Linked DNA regions of Saccharomyces cerevisiae S288C. The protein of the gene in region 3 purifies or fractionates together with the protein of the main gene of each other region. This does not show direct contact. Each region holds a gene or a part of one and is shown on either strand. Other genes may lie near its edges.

Evidence for each region. The genes of interacting proteins can lie anywhere in the genome.
Region 1: the proteins of RPN9 (region 3) and RPT6 purify together in Saccharomyces cerevisiae (affinity purification with mass spectrometry; 5 studies listed by BioGRID, with this or other methods). This does not show direct contact.
Region 2: the proteins of RPN9 (region 3) and PRE1 purify together in Saccharomyces cerevisiae (affinity purification with mass spectrometry; 4 studies listed by BioGRID). This does not show direct contact.

The regions. Positions count from the first base shown.
Region 1 is NC_001139.9:409,569-415,531, forward strand, and holds RPT6 (proteasome regulatory particle base subunit RPT6), read right to left. Parts: upstream 1,719-5,963; coding exon 501-1,718; downstream 1-500. Other genes in the region: TIF4632 (translation initiation factor eIF4G), read right to left, coding at 1-36; N-acetylglucosaminyldiphosphodolichol N-acetylglucosaminyltransferase catalytic subunit ALG13, read left to right, coding at 1,984-2,592; RIM8 (Rim8p), read left to right, coding at 4,534-5,963. UniProt on the Saccharomyces cerevisiae protein: The 26S proteasome is involved in the ATP-dependent degradation of ubiquitinated proteins. The regulatory (or ATPase) complex confers ATP dependency and substrate specificity to the 26S complex.
Region 2 is NC_001137.3:173,141-178,931, reverse strand, and holds PRE1 (proteasome core particle subunit beta 4), read right to left. Parts: upstream 1,098-5,791; coding exon 501-1,097; downstream 1-500. Other genes in the region: DEAH-box ATP-dependent RNA helicase PRP22, read right to left, coding at 1-91; TIR1 (GPI-anchored mannoprotein), read right to left, coding at 2,920-3,684; YER010C (bifunctional 4-hydroxy-4-methyl-2-oxoglutarate aldolase/oxaloacetate decarboxylase), read left to right, coding at 5,594-5,791. UniProt on the Saccharomyces cerevisiae protein: Non-catalytic component of the proteasome which degrades poly-ubiquitinated proteins in the cytoplasm and in the nucleus. It is essential for the regulated turnover of proteins and for the removal of misfolded proteins.
Region 3 is NC_001136.10:1,319,976-1,325,155, reverse strand, and holds RPN9 (proteasome regulatory particle lid subunit RPN9), read right to left. Parts: upstream 2,952-5,180; coding exon 1,770-2,951; downstream 1-1,769. Other genes in the region: TIF35 (translation initiation factor eIF3 core subunit g), read left to right, coding at 1-679; BNA7 (arylformamidase), read left to right, coding at 917-1,702; SNX41 (Snx41p), read right to left, coding at 3,215-5,092. UniProt on the Saccharomyces cerevisiae protein: Acts as a regulatory subunit of the 26S proteasome which is involved in the ATP-dependent degradation of ubiquitinated proteins.

The sequences.
Region 1 (5,963 bases), on a different chromosome or scaffold from region 3:
CGGGTGTGGGGGCGGTGGACCTCTTTGGTCAGTCATAGTGCCTACAATTGATCTATTGTTCTTTGTAATAAATTCTTTCTTTCAGGAACAGTAAAAACAGCCTAAAAATATGAAGTCGCCGTAGTAAACGTTATCTTCTAGTTACTATCAACACAGACGCCTTTTTAAATTCGAGGGTCAAGGCTGCTAGGCTGAGTGGTCGTTTGCTGTGTTTACCTCTAATCAAAAACTTATTATCTTTTTTTTTTCAGTCCTTTTTGCAAAGCAGGTACCTACTATTTTTCAAAATACACTAAAGGAACGGGCCCCCCGGCTTACTATTAATAAGGTCAGGACGGGGAAAAAGCAGCAATGCTCTGCCCCTCTGTTCTCGAAAAGACAAACGGTTGTTATATCCTGTATATCCAGCGGTATAATTTTGCCTCTTAGTTAATGCTAAACTATGATATTATACACATACACTAAGTAACATATACAATGAGCCAAGTGAAACGAATACATCACTTGAACAGCTTGGCGACAGAAATGGCCGTTTCTTGGTTCTTGTTCATAACCTTACCCACAGCGAGTTCGAAGTCTTCTTGAGTAACGTGTATTCTTCTTTCTCTTAAAGCATACATACCAGCTTCTGTACAGACACCTTTGACATCGGCACCAGAACAACCGTTCATCTTTTCAGCAACCTTTCTCAAGTTGATACCACGAGTTAGATTCATTTTTCTGGAATGGATTCTTAAAATTTCAGCTCTAGCTGCGACACTTGGAGGTGGAAATTCAATCTTCCTATCTATTCTACCGGGTCTCAAAAGTGCTGGATCTAGAATATCTAGTCTATTCGTGGCCATTATGATCTTGATATTTTTAGAAGTTTCAAACCCGTCCAATTGGTTTAGTAGTTCTAACATTGTTCTTTGAACTTCTGAATCACCACCACCAGAACCTTCTACACGAGTAGAGCCAATGGAATCGATTTCATCCATAAAGATAATTGAGGGAGCATGTTCTCTAGCCATCACAAACAGCTCACGGACCATACGGGAACCTTCGCCGATATACTTTTGTACCAGTTCCGCACCACTGACCCTGATGAATTTACAATCAGTGTGATGTGCGACAGCTCTTGCCAATAAGGTTTTCCCTGTACCAGGGGGGCCATATAAGATGACACCCTTTGGTTGCGCAATACCCAAACTTTCAAAAAGTTCAGGATGTTTTACGGGCAATTCAATAACTTCTTTAATCTCCTTTATTTGCTTTGTCAAACCACCAACCATATCGTATGTGGAATCAGGAACTTTTTCCACCATCATCAACGAAACTAGTGGGTCAGCCTTATTCTCAAGAACTTTATGCAACATATAAGAGTCACTCCTTAGACAAACTCTTTGAGATGCCTTTAAGTCCTTCACGTTTATATCTTTTGCAACATCCACGATGTATTTTCCCTCAGGTTGCACTTTAACGAGAACTTTTTTGTCAGACACGATCTTTATAACTTCACCCACATAAGATCCAGGTTCCTGTAATAGACGCAGTTCGTCCTTGATAAAACGTACTTTGTCATTCAATGCATTCCTTTGAGCTTCCAGTCTGCGAACATTTTCTGTTTTGGAGCGGATCTTTAATTCTGTTTCTTGGATCTTCTGTTCAAAATATGGTTTGATACCACTTTCGTGGGTTTCTAATACTATATTGGAGGATGTTACAGCAGCTGTCATTGTCGTGATAGTATCCCACTATACTGTTGTTCCGTTTACATAAAACCTAACCTAACTGTTACTGATATTACAACTTTTGCCACCTCGCTCGCATTTTGACAGTTTTAAAATACGAAAATTTCCGAACAAGAATAAGGGTAGAGAAGTATGCAAAATATGATTTCATATTAAAAAACCCAACCGAAGAAAAAGGGAAATAGAAAAACAAGTTTTCAGTCGCAAAAAGAGGTTAAACAAACGAGTCAGAAGCCAGCTCTTTCAAACAATGGGTATTATTGAAGAAAAGGCTCTTTTTGTTACGTGTGGGGCAACGGTGCCATTTCCAAAGCTCGTCTCATGTGTGCTAAGCGACGAATTCTGCCAAGAATTGATTCAATATGGATTCGTACGTCTAATCATTCAGTTTGGGAGAAACTACAGTTCTGAATTTGAGCATTTAGTGCAAGAACGCGGGGGCCAAAGAGAAAGCCAAAAAATTCCAATTGACCAGTTTGGCTGTGGCGACACCGCAAGACAGTATGTCCTGATGAACGGGAAATTAAAGGTGATCGGGTTTGACTTTTCGACCAAGATGCAAAGTATTATACGTGATTATTCAGATTTGGTCATATCACACGCTGGAACGGGCTCTATACTAGATTCTCTACGGTTGAATAAACCGTTGATAGTTTGCGTAAACGATTCTTTGATGGATAACCACCAGCAGCAGATAGCAGACAAGTTTGTAGAGTTGGGCTACGTATGGTCTTGTGCACCCACTGAAACAGGTTTGATAGCTGGTTTACGTGCATCTCAAACAGAGAAACTCAAACCATTCCCAGTTTCTCATAACCCGTCATTTGAGCGATTGCTAGTTGAAACTATATACAGCTAGTTAGTAAGATTTTAAAAGACGAAAAGAACGGAAAGTAGGACAACTACCAAAAAAAAAGATGGAAGGTTTCTTTGGTTAGTTAGCAGTATCCGCGTAATGCCTTAGACGTTTTTGATCAGAAAAAAATAAAACTTGATTTCGCCCAGGATCGAACTGGGGACGTTCTGCGTGTTAAGCAGATGCCATAACCGACTAGACCACGAAACCAGTTTTTTGATGTTTCGTTTAGGGACAAGAGTCCTATGAGAGTCCACTAAAATTCTAAAAATAATTGTATCAACAACCGTCATGCAGCTGTTGTATCAAGAATCGACCACCATCTATAGACTATTGTTCATAGCTGTATTACAATATCATATAAGATGTAAGGATAGAACGTGAAGATCGAGAAACAGTCAGCAGATTTAATGGAAGCTGAAATGCACGGATTGATAATGTAATAGAATAAGTGACAACATAAGAAATGAAAGAAAAAAAATAACATTAATATAATTTAGAAATGTTAGTTTCCTTCTATGAACTCTCGTATCCCTGGGGAGGACTTTCAATATATTCAGTATACCTACCGTTCAAATGATACTCTAAAATATCATCTATTAAGTGGTATTCAGGTTTTTCCCACGCAAGATTGAGTGCGTCAGGCAAAGCCACGATCGCAGATTACTCTCCTAACAATATTAAGATCGTCAAGAACATCCGGTTTTACTCAAGCGCTTAATACAACACGTCGGCTTTCGCTCAACTGCAGTATATTGTGTCTGTAACCTCTCCCGTCAAGTTTGCGCCACGGGCCCAATAACCAACTTCTGCGCCATTGTTACGGAAAAGTGGCCATCTTTGCTATGCTCGTAAGGCTAGCGCTCTCTAAGTACGCCAGCCCAAAAACTCCGTATCGCTCTTCATCGGAATTGCTATATCTACAGCCGACGGGCACTCTATGTATACTCATATCACAGCCACTGTTGCACTACATTATTCGCAGGGACTCCGAGATCGCTGAGCATGTTGCTAAGCAACTTACCAAGGTTGGAATGCATTATATAGTCCGATATAGACCCCGCTCGGACTATATTATATAAATTCAAATAGCACTTTCAACGAGTGTCTTAATCCGTCCTAGTTCCTGCTCTCGCTCCACGTTGTCATCCCACCCATTCGCACGGGTCTTCTGTGCGAATGAGCCACAACGGGGCCGAGTTCAGCGCGTGTCCGCCTACAACGTCCGCCAACTAGTGGCAATTGCTAGGCTACGCCGACCACGCTGACACGCACCGTTCTACTCGCTCTATGCTGCGGTGTGACGTGTGAACGCGCGATCGTTCGCAATCGTATCGTTTGCCAAGAAAAAAAGCCAATCGGAGAATCTGAAAATCGCTATTCGGCTTGCAGGTCGCACGCACTCAGAGTACGAAATGCCAAGTACCGGAATTTCCTTGGCCTTTTTTAAGTTTCTTCTCTTCTATTCTTTTTCCCCTTTCTTTCTTCCTTTGCTATCTGTCTGGTTTAAATAAACATAGTATTTTTTTGTGTCTAAGCCTCTTCCTCTTCTCTCGTACTTGCTCTACTACCACTTTACTTAATCGCCTTTCTTTGTTTTCTTTCTTCGTTATTTGTTCTTGGACTTTTCCGCTCCAATCCCAACGATTGGCTTCAAAACACGTTCTACTGTCTAGCAATTTCTGCAGGTGCCATTTTTCTTAGGCTTATACCCTTTCCTTTTCCCCTTACATTTGATTTCTTCTTCAAAGTTCCTTATAGTATTATTGTCTAAGCTCTATTGAGTCAAAAGTAACAATCTAGACGAAGAAAAAAAAAAAATAGAAAATAGACATCCCCGAATACGCATCATCTCACGCACGTACAAGATTTTAACGTTAAAGCCAAAGTACGCTAGTATAGTATCATCAGCATCACCCTCACTATCGGTAGCATTGACCAAACATGTCGTTACTGAGACTGTGGAACAAAGAATCAAGGGCACCATCAAAAATAAAGAGTCATGGTATTGTTGGCAGTTACGGCAACAGCATGCTGGCCCATAACAACGTGAAGCAATTTCGTATAGACATAGACGAACCGCATAGAGTATGGAAACCGAATGAAAGCATAACCGGAGAAGCGGTCATTGACATAAAGAGAGACATAACTAACGTAGCGATCAAATTATCGCTAGTATGTGAGGTTCGCGTGAAAACGGGGAACAGTCCAACCTCCAAGAATAAGAGAATTGAGAAAACCTTAGAGAAGTCGACGTTTCTTTATGGACAGGACTACGTAAAGACAGCTTTTTCGGCTAAGGAAAAGAAACCGCATGTTGACAAAACCACCATTCTCAATGGTTTAAGCAAGGGGGAACACAGGTTTCCCTTTAGGATACGAATACCACGAGGCAGAGGAATGTTGAGCTCTATAAAGTTCGAAAGGGGCTCGATAACATACTTCCTCTCTTGCACTTTAGAATCCCTCAACAACATCAACGGATTAAAAAAACCGGAAGCAAGATGCGAACGTGAGTTTGCAGTCATAGTTCCGCTGGACGTCTCGAGGCTGCCCAAGCCGAAAACTAAGACAGTGGTTTTACAATCAGCATCTATGGTCCAAAACAAAAAGAACAAATCTACAGAGGACGAATCCTCATCGTATACACAATTAACTCAAAAGTCTACTACTTCTAATTCTTCTAGCAGTTCAGTAAACTCCAAGACGTCCCCCTTACCAAATAAAACGGTGACTATATCCGTAGACATACCGCAGGCTGGATTCATGATTGGTGAAATTATCCCTATAGACGTTAAGATTGACCACTATAAGCCTTTCTATGCCCCTGCGGGTCTCACCACCACTTTGGTGAGGATATGTAGGGTGGGCGGTGCAGGCAAAGATGATCCTATGGAGACTTTCAGAAAAGATATATGTCAGAGTATCTCTCCTATATATATTAACCCTGAAACGTTGCAGTTTCAATCTAGAGTTTATCTGAAAGTGCCCCTTGATGCATTTTCGACCCTTACTACTGTGGGAAAATTTTTCTCCTTCCAATACTATATCGAGGTTATGGTTAACTTATCAAAAAAAAACGTGGTTTACACAGAATCTAATAGAATAATAGGAACTCCTATTGGAGAACAAAATGGCTTGGGCGTAGAGAATAATATCAACCGTATCCAAAGGAAAATGCTACGTATGGTCAATCCAGAAACGTTGGAGAACGATTCTGAGGGTTATGAATCCAGTATATTTTTCAAAGATATGGTAAATGTGGAAAAGCTAAAGAGACTGAGGAATGTAACTGGTATGTCCATAGAAACCGTCATAGGAACGACGAGATCCGAACAGCAGCAATCTGATGCAAGCATCCCATCCCAATCCTC
Region 2 (5,791 bases), on a different chromosome or scaffold from region 3:
CGGATTTATTTATGATATTCAGCACAAATTCAATGATAACGGGGTCATCAGATCCCACAATAGCTCCTATGAGTTTCGATATATCAGACATCTCTAATATCTTTGTGTTACCTATGTTGAAAATTAGCTTCGTAGTGCGAAATATAGCGCATTAACAACATGAGATGACAGCATTTGAACAAGTAATAAACCATCTCAAAAGTACTATCGTAGCCCTACATTGCTTCTTCAAAATATTCTCATGCGGGTAACATAATTACAACTTTTCGAATTGGTTATAACGAAGCGGTATCAGCATTGATTGGGATTCATTTGCAATAGATCAGATGATATCTCACTCTGCCAACAAAAAATGAGAAATTGTCTTATTTCTGATACATTTGCTATTATAACGGATGAAAAAACTATAATAACTTTATTTAATTTTATGAACGAGGAAGATAATTACTTTAGTATATCATTAGCAATCACCTTTTCCGTGTGATTACACTGAATATCTTTCACTGTGCCTGGAAGTCATCTACTTGTCTTATGCCATCTTTATCCACGATTTTAACAATGACGCCCTTGAAGTCCATTGGCATTCTTTTTTCAAGCTCTTGTACACATAGTTTTAATAAATCTAAACCCTCCTCAGTAGTCATATCAGGTCTATAATGATGATCTAGTAAAGAGAATGTGTAAAACCCCGAGTAACCATGAGCACCATAGGGTAATTCGACTTTAGTACCCAAGTAGTCAATTTGATATAGTTCCGGTTTGTTCTTCTTTTTGTCATAGCCTCCAATCAATACGTTGACTTGGTATGGTCTTCTCGACCTAATTGACTTGGCTAATTCTTGCCTAACAAAACTAGATACTGCTTGTGGAGAGAGCTCATAATCTTCTCTAATGGAGTATAATTGGATATTGGCTTGAATGTACTCGGCGAATTGAACGGTGTCACCAGCTTCACCGGCAAAACTCATCAATGTATGTGGCGATAATTGTCTCGTTTTATCATCAGAATCTTTTAAAACAGAAATACCTCTTGTGACTGCCTTAGAAGACGCTAGAATGACAGAATCCTGTACACGGATGCCCAGAATAATATCCATTTCTTAATATATCTTTCTTAGTATTGTATATGAACCTATTTAAAAGACGTGCCCGAAGTTTGTTCTTTTTTATTCGATTGACAGGTGCTCCCTTTTCTTGTAATTGGTGTTCAATATTCACTTTTCTTTATTTTTTGCCACCGTAAAGATTTCGCTGCGAAAGATGCCCCGGCCTAGATGTAGATGACGGAGCTTTGCTGATGCAGTAATACGCATTGATATTTGAGAGGCGTCGATAGTATCATAGAGAACCTGTCAAAAGGAATTCACCGCATGGTTTTCATAAGAGATTGCGTTATGAACAGTTTTCACTACGTTAATGAGCCTCGTTCGAATGTAAATCAGAGGACTTGTGGGCAGGAAAGTTATAATTATCTCTTCAATGAACCTAAAGAAATTACATGTTCAAGACTCGGTGTTAATTTATTTTAACTACGCCGCCTGTCTGAGTCCTTATAACGTGTAGGAATGGTAAAAACGATGGAGTGCAGAGCCTTCCTACTTTTTCGCTAAAAGACTAAAAGAAGGTGGTGTTATGTTGCTGTGCGCTTCTCGGATAGTCAGAACCCAGGCTCAAACTATCAGGATTCAGCCTATTTAATTTACTACCACATCATATTCATATGAGGTATGTCAAATTATGATTGTAGCCATCAAAAAAGTACTCCGATACGGGGAGTCGAACCCCGGTCTCCACGGTGAAAGCGTGATGTGATAGCCGTTACACTATATCGGATCAAAGTAGGTTGAAAAACCTTATTCTTCATGAATATCATCATGGTAGACGATATTTAGACAAAATATGATATATCAAAGATGCTGGAATATGAATTAGCAATGAGGAACAATCGTAATAAGTTTAAGTGTGGGTTACTTTGCTAGGTTGAGAAAAAGAATTGTTTAGAGGAATATTACCGAATGAATGATATTTTAAAGTTTCATTCCAACAGTAGTAGTACGAACACCAGCCGATAGAAGTGATAATTGGGTGAATTTTGAGATAATTGTTCGGATTCCATTGTTGGTAAAGGCTACAATATTATGTATACAGAATACCAGAAGTTTTTCCTCCGGGATATAGGAATCCTCAAAATGTAATCGGTATTTCTACACGATAATCACAATACTATGTAGAAATTTCCATACCCTTTTGTGGATTCGTATGTCCTTAAGGAGAACTCCTTGTTCATTTTGTGCACCTAATACTATGATCTCTAACAGCAATGGCATCCCAAAAATTACCTCAAAATTCATACATTCTCCAGTAGAATTTTTCTTTCTATCTTTGCCACCCCATTTCTTTAACGCCAGTAGTGTTATGTAAAATCGTTGTTGTTGAAGGTAAGTTTTCGAAGCTGCTAAAAAAGCATCAAAGGAAGATGATGATTTGACATGATGTTTCAATCAGCATGTGTCATGTCTACACATTCTAATTAGTTCTGTTACGTTATCAATCCTAGCATTTCAGCCTTCGTTGAATTCGGTTAATGTTCAGGTCTTCCTCAATGGTCTTTCAATACACTTTAAGTCTTCACACTGCACAAAATAATTTCTTGCAATAAGTTAATAAATTGATATCTTATACAAGTATCCAACAGACAGTAGTGCCAACACCGCTGGAACATTTAAAATATGGCACAGGAAAAACTATAGAAGACAAAATGAATTAAAAAAAAGAAAAATTAATCTTGTTATATATGCAATTAAAGAACCGAAACATATTTACATTAATTGTAAAGCAGAAGAAAGGACCGAAAGTAGTTAATAAAAAAGGGTATGACTATGGTTATTTTTTACGTAGTTATTATTAAAAACCAATAACTTATAACAACATAGCGGCAGCTGCGACAACACCAGCACCCATACCAACAAAGGCCTTAGCAGCACCGTTTTCAGTTTGCTCAGAAACAGCCTTGGTAGCTTGGATTTGACCATCGGTAATTTGAGAGATGGCAGAGGTCTTGGCACCAGTGGAGCTTGGAGCAGCAGAAGTTATCTTAGCTTCAGTGGAGCTTGGAGCAGCAGAAGAAGACTTAGCTTCAGAAGAGCTTGGGGCAGCAGAAGAAGACTTAGCTTCAGAAGAGCTTGGGGCAGCAGAAGAAGACTTAGCTTCAGAAGAGCTTGGGGCAGCAGAAGAAGACTTAGCTTCAGAAGAGCTTGAGGCAGCAGAAGAAGTTGGGGCAGCAGATGAGCTTGGGGCAGCAGAAGAAGTTGGAGCAGCAGAAGAGCTTGGGGCAGCAGAAGAAGAAGCATCACCATTCAAAGACTTCAAAGCTGGTTCCAATCTAGAGGAGTACCATGGAACCATGGTCAACATCTTGCTAACACCAGCAAAGTCAACCTCAGAGTACAAAGTAGTGTAGGAGTCGTCAGTGGCGGAAGCTAAAGCCATACCGATATCCAAAACACCAGCTGGCATACTGCTTAAGGAAAATCCAGAGGAAGAATCAGAAGCTAAGCTAATGTACTCTTGCAAGTGAGATTTGACATCGTTCAAAATAACGTTCAATTCGTTAATTTGATCTTGGGTTTGAGCGGAAGCCAAAGCAGCAATAGCAGCGAATAAAGCGATCTTAGTGTAAGCCATTTTTAATTATTGTAGTACTTGTTGAAAGCGAATGAAAAAGTCTGATATTTTCTTGGTTTTTTATGTAATTTAGAGGAGAAAAGCAAGCTGATTTCAAGCTAACAACAAGATTCAACCGACCTTTTATACAAAAGATTTCTTTGTCTGTCATTTTGCTTCACTTTTTTCTCTGTCAAGGGACAGTTGCATACAAACGCAGTTCAAAACGAAGAAAATAGAAGCAAACGACGTAATGCCGTGGCTGACTGGCATACACTGGAAATCTGTACCAACCGTATAGGTGAAAGAGACCCTTTATGGAACGAGAAAGTGCATTCTTCCCGCTATTGTATTGTTGGGTTCCTTAAACGATGCTGTAAAAACCTAAAACATGGTGCTGAAAATAAACGCGCGAAGAAAGATGGATCTAGCCAGGCACGGAAACGGAAACACGTACTAAAAAGGGACAGGCACTAAAACGGGTCTGGGGTCCTCCCTATTCTGCTTCGAAGCGCGCTCGGAAAACTTCCTTTTATAGCCGTCGTATAGAGAAAATTGAACCTTATTAGATCTGGCGATGGATTCTGTCATTCGTTGGGAACAATGCAGATTATCCAAGTTAGATGGAAACGGTTCACTTTTGCGCTGCAGGCTGTCGGCTGGGCCTTACTATTTATGGAAATCATTTATCGTTCTGTTTACACCCTTTAAGAAGATGGAGTAAAGTGTTGAGCGTGTTAGCTGATAATGACCGTTTCATAGCATTCAAAAACCGTTGCTGTGTAAAAAAAGTCTATTTCCATTGTGGATTGATAATTTTAAGAGACAAGCAGTTCCCATTTTTGTTCTTGCAGCAGATATTTTTAGTCTTCTCTCGAATAACAATAGAGAAAAGGCGGGTATGCTCAGATAGCACATAAATTATAAACAATGCAAGGCCATAAACTTGTAGATTGTCTTTTGTATCTTTTGACGTGATCAAAAGTAATAATAGCAGTGCTTATTTGAATTAAGAGTAAAACATAGTAATACTGGAAATAAGCCGGGATATTTGTAGATATGTATATGCGCAAGAAGGTGCCTATAGAACTGGCAAATGTAGGGAATGAGAAAATCTCTTGACACTTTTTGTACGCAATTTACTTGGCACATGAAGGCACAATTAAAAGCTACTCGCCCTTGTAAATTTGACTAAAAGATTTTCGTAGTCTATGTCTCCAGTTTGAATTGAACAACACCACGCAGTCTAGTAATGTTGAAGGCACCCTTTATGTGCAAATAAAGAAAACTTAGCCGCATAAGGTATCATTGCTGTAACTCCATGACTGTTATCCCCCGAAGAACTTTGTAATAACAATTGTAAGTTTTTAGGAAAGGTTCACTGTCGAGAATGACACTTTGGGTTAAGCATTTTAACAAATATTTTCGCTAGACACTGTGTGATGAAGCTATTTCTGAATAATTTTATATTTTGCCTTGAAATTTAATCATGAAATTATATCTGTAAAGGAAAATTAGGGAATGAAATACAAACAATACGAACATAATCCGTAAAAGTATAAATAATCCAAATACAAACTATACATGTGTATACAAGCTCATTTATAGAAATAAAAAGCAGTCGATAAGGAGCAGATAATCTGAGATCTTGCCCACCGCGTTTGGAGAATACCATCAGCTTACCCAAATAATCAGGAAAACTGCAAGCCCAGCTATTTTGCCAATAATAATTTCCGCCACTTAGGTCTGTATGTGAGTCAAACGTTGCTCATTCATTAATCTCTATGATGTATTACAGCTGGAAGTGATAAGAACGATAAAAAAAAGTGATCACCTTACTTAGCGCGAAAAAACTTGAACTGTATGGCTTTCCATAAACTAAACCAACTTTTAAAAAAATTAACAGTATAAGTAGAAACCGCCGTCCGCAATGTCAGATCTTCAAAAGTTACAGAGGTTCTCAACCTGTGATATTTCGGACGGATTGTTGAATGTTTATAACATTCCAACGGGTGGTTATTTCCCTAATCTAACAGCAATTTCTCCACCGCAAAATAGCTCCATAGTAGGCACTGCATACACAGTACTGTTTGCACCCATTGATGATCCAAGACCTGCCGTGAACTAT
Region 3 (5,180 bases):
TGCAGAAAGAAAAAACTGGCATAAATATGGCTCTGAAAAAGGGTCTCCAGCAGGTCCAAGTGCTGTTACAGCAAGATTGGGTGAAGAAGTAGAATTAAGATTGAGTAGGAACTGGAAACAAGCTGAAGAAGAAAGAATACAAAAAGAAAAGGCAAGTCTCACAAAGACCGGTCTACAATGTAGATTATGTGGTAACGACCATATGACCATGAACTGTCCATTCAAGACAATTTTAAGTGAACTTTCAGCATTAGAAGACCCAGCCACTAATGAAGGCGGTGTCGAGGCCGCCAGTGAAGAGAAGGCAGGCCAAGTTGGCGGAGCTGGTTCCATCCCAGGGCAGTATGTTCCACCTTCTCGTCGTGCTGGTGCAAGAGATCCTTCATCCGATGCTTACAGAGACTCTAGAGAACGTGATGATATGTGTACTTTGAAGATTATGCAAGTTAATGAAAATGCCGATGAAAATAGTTTGAGAGAAGAGTTATTGTTCCCATTCGCACCCATTCCAAGAGTTTCTGTCGTTAGAAACAAAGAAACAGGTAAATCAAGAGGTCTCGCCTTTGTTACCTTTTCGAGCGAAGAAGTTGCCGAACAAGCTTTACGTTTCTTGGATGGTAGGGGTTATATGAATTTAATTTTACGTGTTGAATGGTCCAAACCTAAGGTTAAGGAATAGATGCACAGAATATGCTCTGCACTTGTTTTCTAATGTTACTCTTCTCATATAAAAATTGTAGATATTAAGAAAGAAAGTATGTAAACTAATCAATCTATACCTAAAAGAATATTGTTCAATATTCTATAAAGCACGCACGGCATGGTAAAATTTTTAACGATTGTAAGATTACAACAAGTTGCAATCCATTCAAGCTAAAAAATCAAAGCAAGGAAAAGCTCAGAGGCTGTCGTGAATATGTCAAATACCGTAAGAGCCATTTCACCAGATATAACACTATTCAACAAGACATTGACATTCCAAGAAATCTCACAAAACACTAGAGAGGCTGTCATATACATTCATGGAGGTGCATGGAACGATCCTGAGAATACGCCCAATGATTTTAATCAATTAGCCAATACCATCAAATCAATGGATACTGAGTCAACGGTTTGTCAATACTCTATAGAATACAGGTTATCACCAGAGATCACAAATCCAAGAAACTTATATGATGCTGTGTCAAATATAACAAGGCTTGTTAAAGAAAAGGGATTAACGAACATTAATATGGTGGGACATTCCGTTGGAGCTACCTTTATTTGGCAGATATTAGCTGCACTCAAAGATCCTCAAGAAAAAATGAGTGAAGCGCAATTGCAAATGTTGGGACTTTTGCAGATCGTGAAGAGAGTATTTCTATTGGATGGTATATACTCGTTAAAGGAACTGTTGGTAGAATACCCAGAGTATGATTGTTTTACAAGACTTGCCTTCCCTGATGGTATTCAAATGTACGAGGAAGAGCCCTCGAGAGTAATGCCTTACGTGAAGAAAGCCCTTTCTCGCTTCAGTATTGATATGCACCTAGTGCATTCTTATAGCGACGAGTTATTAACGTTAAGACAAACTAATTGTTTAATTTCTTGTCTTCAGGATTATCAGTTAAGTTTCAAGTTGTATTTGGACGATTTGGGTTTGCATAATGATGTTTATAAGAATGGTAAAGTTGCGAAGTATATTTTTGACAATATTTGTTGATAGTTGATTTTATTTCTGCATTTATATATATGTGTGCGTGTGTGTTTTATATATAACTGCCAATGGCCTAAACCCAGATGGATTGGCCACGAGCTTCCATTTTTTTGCCCAGTTTTTCTACTTGATCGTTCCATTCAACCAGTCTGTCCTTCATCTTTGTAATTTGGTCACCACTTATGATTCTTGGTTGGACCCAGGAGATGGTAACGAGTTCATTTACTTGGTCAATAGAACCCTTTAATAGACCCAAACTTATGGCTCTCATGACCAGGTGTTCGACATTATCCTTTGGTAGGTGTGTAGCCTTTGAAATATCTTCAAATGAAAGCATCCTAATATTTTTGACAAAAACTGTTTCAATTAATGTCATTAGGCAAATTTTTTGTCGTAAAAATGATTCATGTTGAGCCAATATAGGAATCTTTGATATTTGAACTTTTATCAATGAGTCGAATTTATCAAAATCACCAACGGTTAGAGCATTTAATAATTGGAAAAGCCAATCGTAATTGGAATCGTTGACTATAGTTTCCATTATTGGATGGTGTAATAGTTCGCCAAAATTATAGATTTTGTCACCTAACAATGCTGAGATACTCAAATCATAGGCCAATTGTTGACGTTCGGCTAAAGTAATGCTTGTAGATGGTTCTAAGGTAGAAAGGTATAATAGACTTGTGTAGTAGAAAGAATTGAAATCATTTTTAAATTTAAAATACTGGGAATTTGTAGAATAGAAGCTGTTTGTTATCCTTAATGGAATGGAATCCTTTTTATCCAATGTCTTTTCCAAATCATCTAATAAATCTCTTGCCTTAACGAGGTCGTTCTTTAACAGGTAAGTTCTAGCAATTTCGCTATCTATCAACAAAATACCATCACCATGGTCTTTTGATCCATTATTTCTTTGTTTTTTAGAGTCCAATTCTTGAAATTGAGCCTTCAAATCATCCAAATATTTTAAAGACTCATCGAAATCCTTAGAATCCTTCAAAGAGGCAAGTAGATACTTTACTACTGACAATTGGTTGATTTTATCATAAAATTTAGAAACGAAGTTATCATATAATCTGAGCCTCAATGGTGTAGATTTAGCATCATCAAAAAATTTAGTCAAGGATTCGGACAATTGGAACCACAATTTCTCTTCATAAAATTTCTCAAATTGTTCGAATAAAGGATGCAAAGAGGGATCTGCCTCCATGCGGAGAGTGCTTAATATGGTGTCAATTTCATGATTATTAAACATCTTGCGAAATATAATGTGGTTTCCTCGCGTGTGCCCACTGTTTGCTTTTTGGTACTTAATAGTTTCTTCAATCTAGGTCTAGCTTTTATTTGTTCTTACTTTTGCCACCGGATGAAAGCGGGGAGCGGGTAAGAATGAAAATGATAATAATAGGATAAATGAATGTGTGTATTCAAATTTTTCTAACGTATACGTTATATGTATATATATATATATATATATGTATATGCTATTTGCAACACGATGCGTGACGGTAATGCTTTTTATAGGGCCTCGTCGATTTGTAACTTTGCCAGTTTCCAATTCTTCAGACATTCTTTGATCCATGCTTTGAAGCTAGCTGCGAAAAGTTTCAAGATCTTTCCAATGGTCAAATTAATATGGTTATATGTATGCATTAAGCTGTTGTATGACGAATTGTTAATTTCTAGCATGTCTGATATACAGATTGATAGACAATCTTTCAATTTGGATAAATCTTGGTTCAACTGTTTGATCTGTTTAGATCTTTCTTGTTCAGTCAATTGTTTGATTTCTAATTTATTGAGATTCATTGTTGGCGTAGACGTTTTATAGTTTAGTTTACTTGCGCCTATATGAATTTCGTTTTGGTGTCCACTGGAGCTTGAATTTGAACTTGACTTCGATAGCGATCTTACGTCCTTTTTAACAAATGTCAGGTCAGCAGCCTTTGTATCTTTGTAATTTTCATCTGTCAATATAGTCGACCGCGTTAAACTTTCATTAATCTTCTGCAGTTGGTTTTCAATCTCAGTGAGACTCGAAAGTTTCGTTTCTTTTTCGATAATTAGCCTCTCTAATATTTTAAATTGCAAAAACTTTAATTTCTTGAAATTTAGAACTTTGAATGACTCATTTAAGAACTGCAATAACTCATTAATGGGGTCCTCAAGAATAGAGGTGTACTTTTCTATTAAGATCTCGGAAGAAATGTATATAACATCGAATGAATGGCCTGTCTTTTCAATATGACTAATAATTTCCATCATTGGGTTGTTTGAATTGTTTTCAGATTCGCGAAGGCTGTTGGGCATGGTTATGTCATTTTCCAAACTAAAAGCATTATAATATGCGCCTAATTCAGCAAAATACGTGGACAAGGAGTGGAAATGAGATTTATTTGATCTTATGTTTTTTAATAAATGGGTGATTATTCGCTTATAATTTTGGAATAAATTTTCAATATGTGTAAATTGAGATTCGTTTTGTAAAATTTCTGTTGGGAGGTTGGAAATTTCATTATGACTTTTTACTGTGATGTGTTGTTGCCAAATCGAATTATAGTTTCTCAGAGACGAGTTGGATGGAATAGGTAAAATAGAATGAAGGGGGCTTGGTTTTGTTGGGCTTAAAGGTGGAGCTAAAAGGTTATTCAAAGGTAGTATGATTATCGGCGACGAACTTAAAACATCTTTCCAATTAAATTCAGGGTTTAGAAATTTTTGAAAAACAATATCGTTGCTTATTTCTTGAATGTTCAGACAGTTAGACAAGAATGAATTGAGCATTTTCTTCCTGGTGGAGATAATTTTGGAATCATTTGCTGCGTTTATGGGACTCCATATGTATTTGAGAAGAGAATGCTTGGATGGAATGGGTGGAATAATTATCGTAGGAAGGAGTCTAGTTAGAGATTGCCTCAAAGAATGAAATTCAGAGTACCTTCTGATAATCTTGTTGTTTTCATATAGAATTACGTAACCGATAGCGTGTTTCCCCCATGGATCTTTGAAATCGCCGGCATCAATGATTTGGATCTGCTGTGTCCCATTCATATCGTGGGGAGTAAATTTGCTAATAGTAGCAGTAGTAGACATCGACAAGGAAACAAAAGGTTCAGTTTCCGCATCTGCTTCCACTACGGCATGAGAAGAGGTTGAAGATGACGTAGATGCTCTGGAAGAGCCAGCAGAAGAGGAATGTGCCGGGCTAGATGGCAAAGACGATGAAGAAGGGGGCGAATTTTCGTTCTCTGGGCGAGCTTCGCCGATAGTAGTCCCAATTCCAGAAGCATATAGGTGATGAGTGCCGACGAATGGATTATTATCTTCTTCTGAGAGATCCATGTCAGATGTGCTGCTTTGTTGTTCATGTACCGCCTCAAATATGTTGTAGTCCATTTTTTCTGTATGTGTAGTAGTATCCGTTGTTACTCACTACGTGTATAGATGTCTATTTATGTCTCTATCCCTTATCTCTTTATCTTGT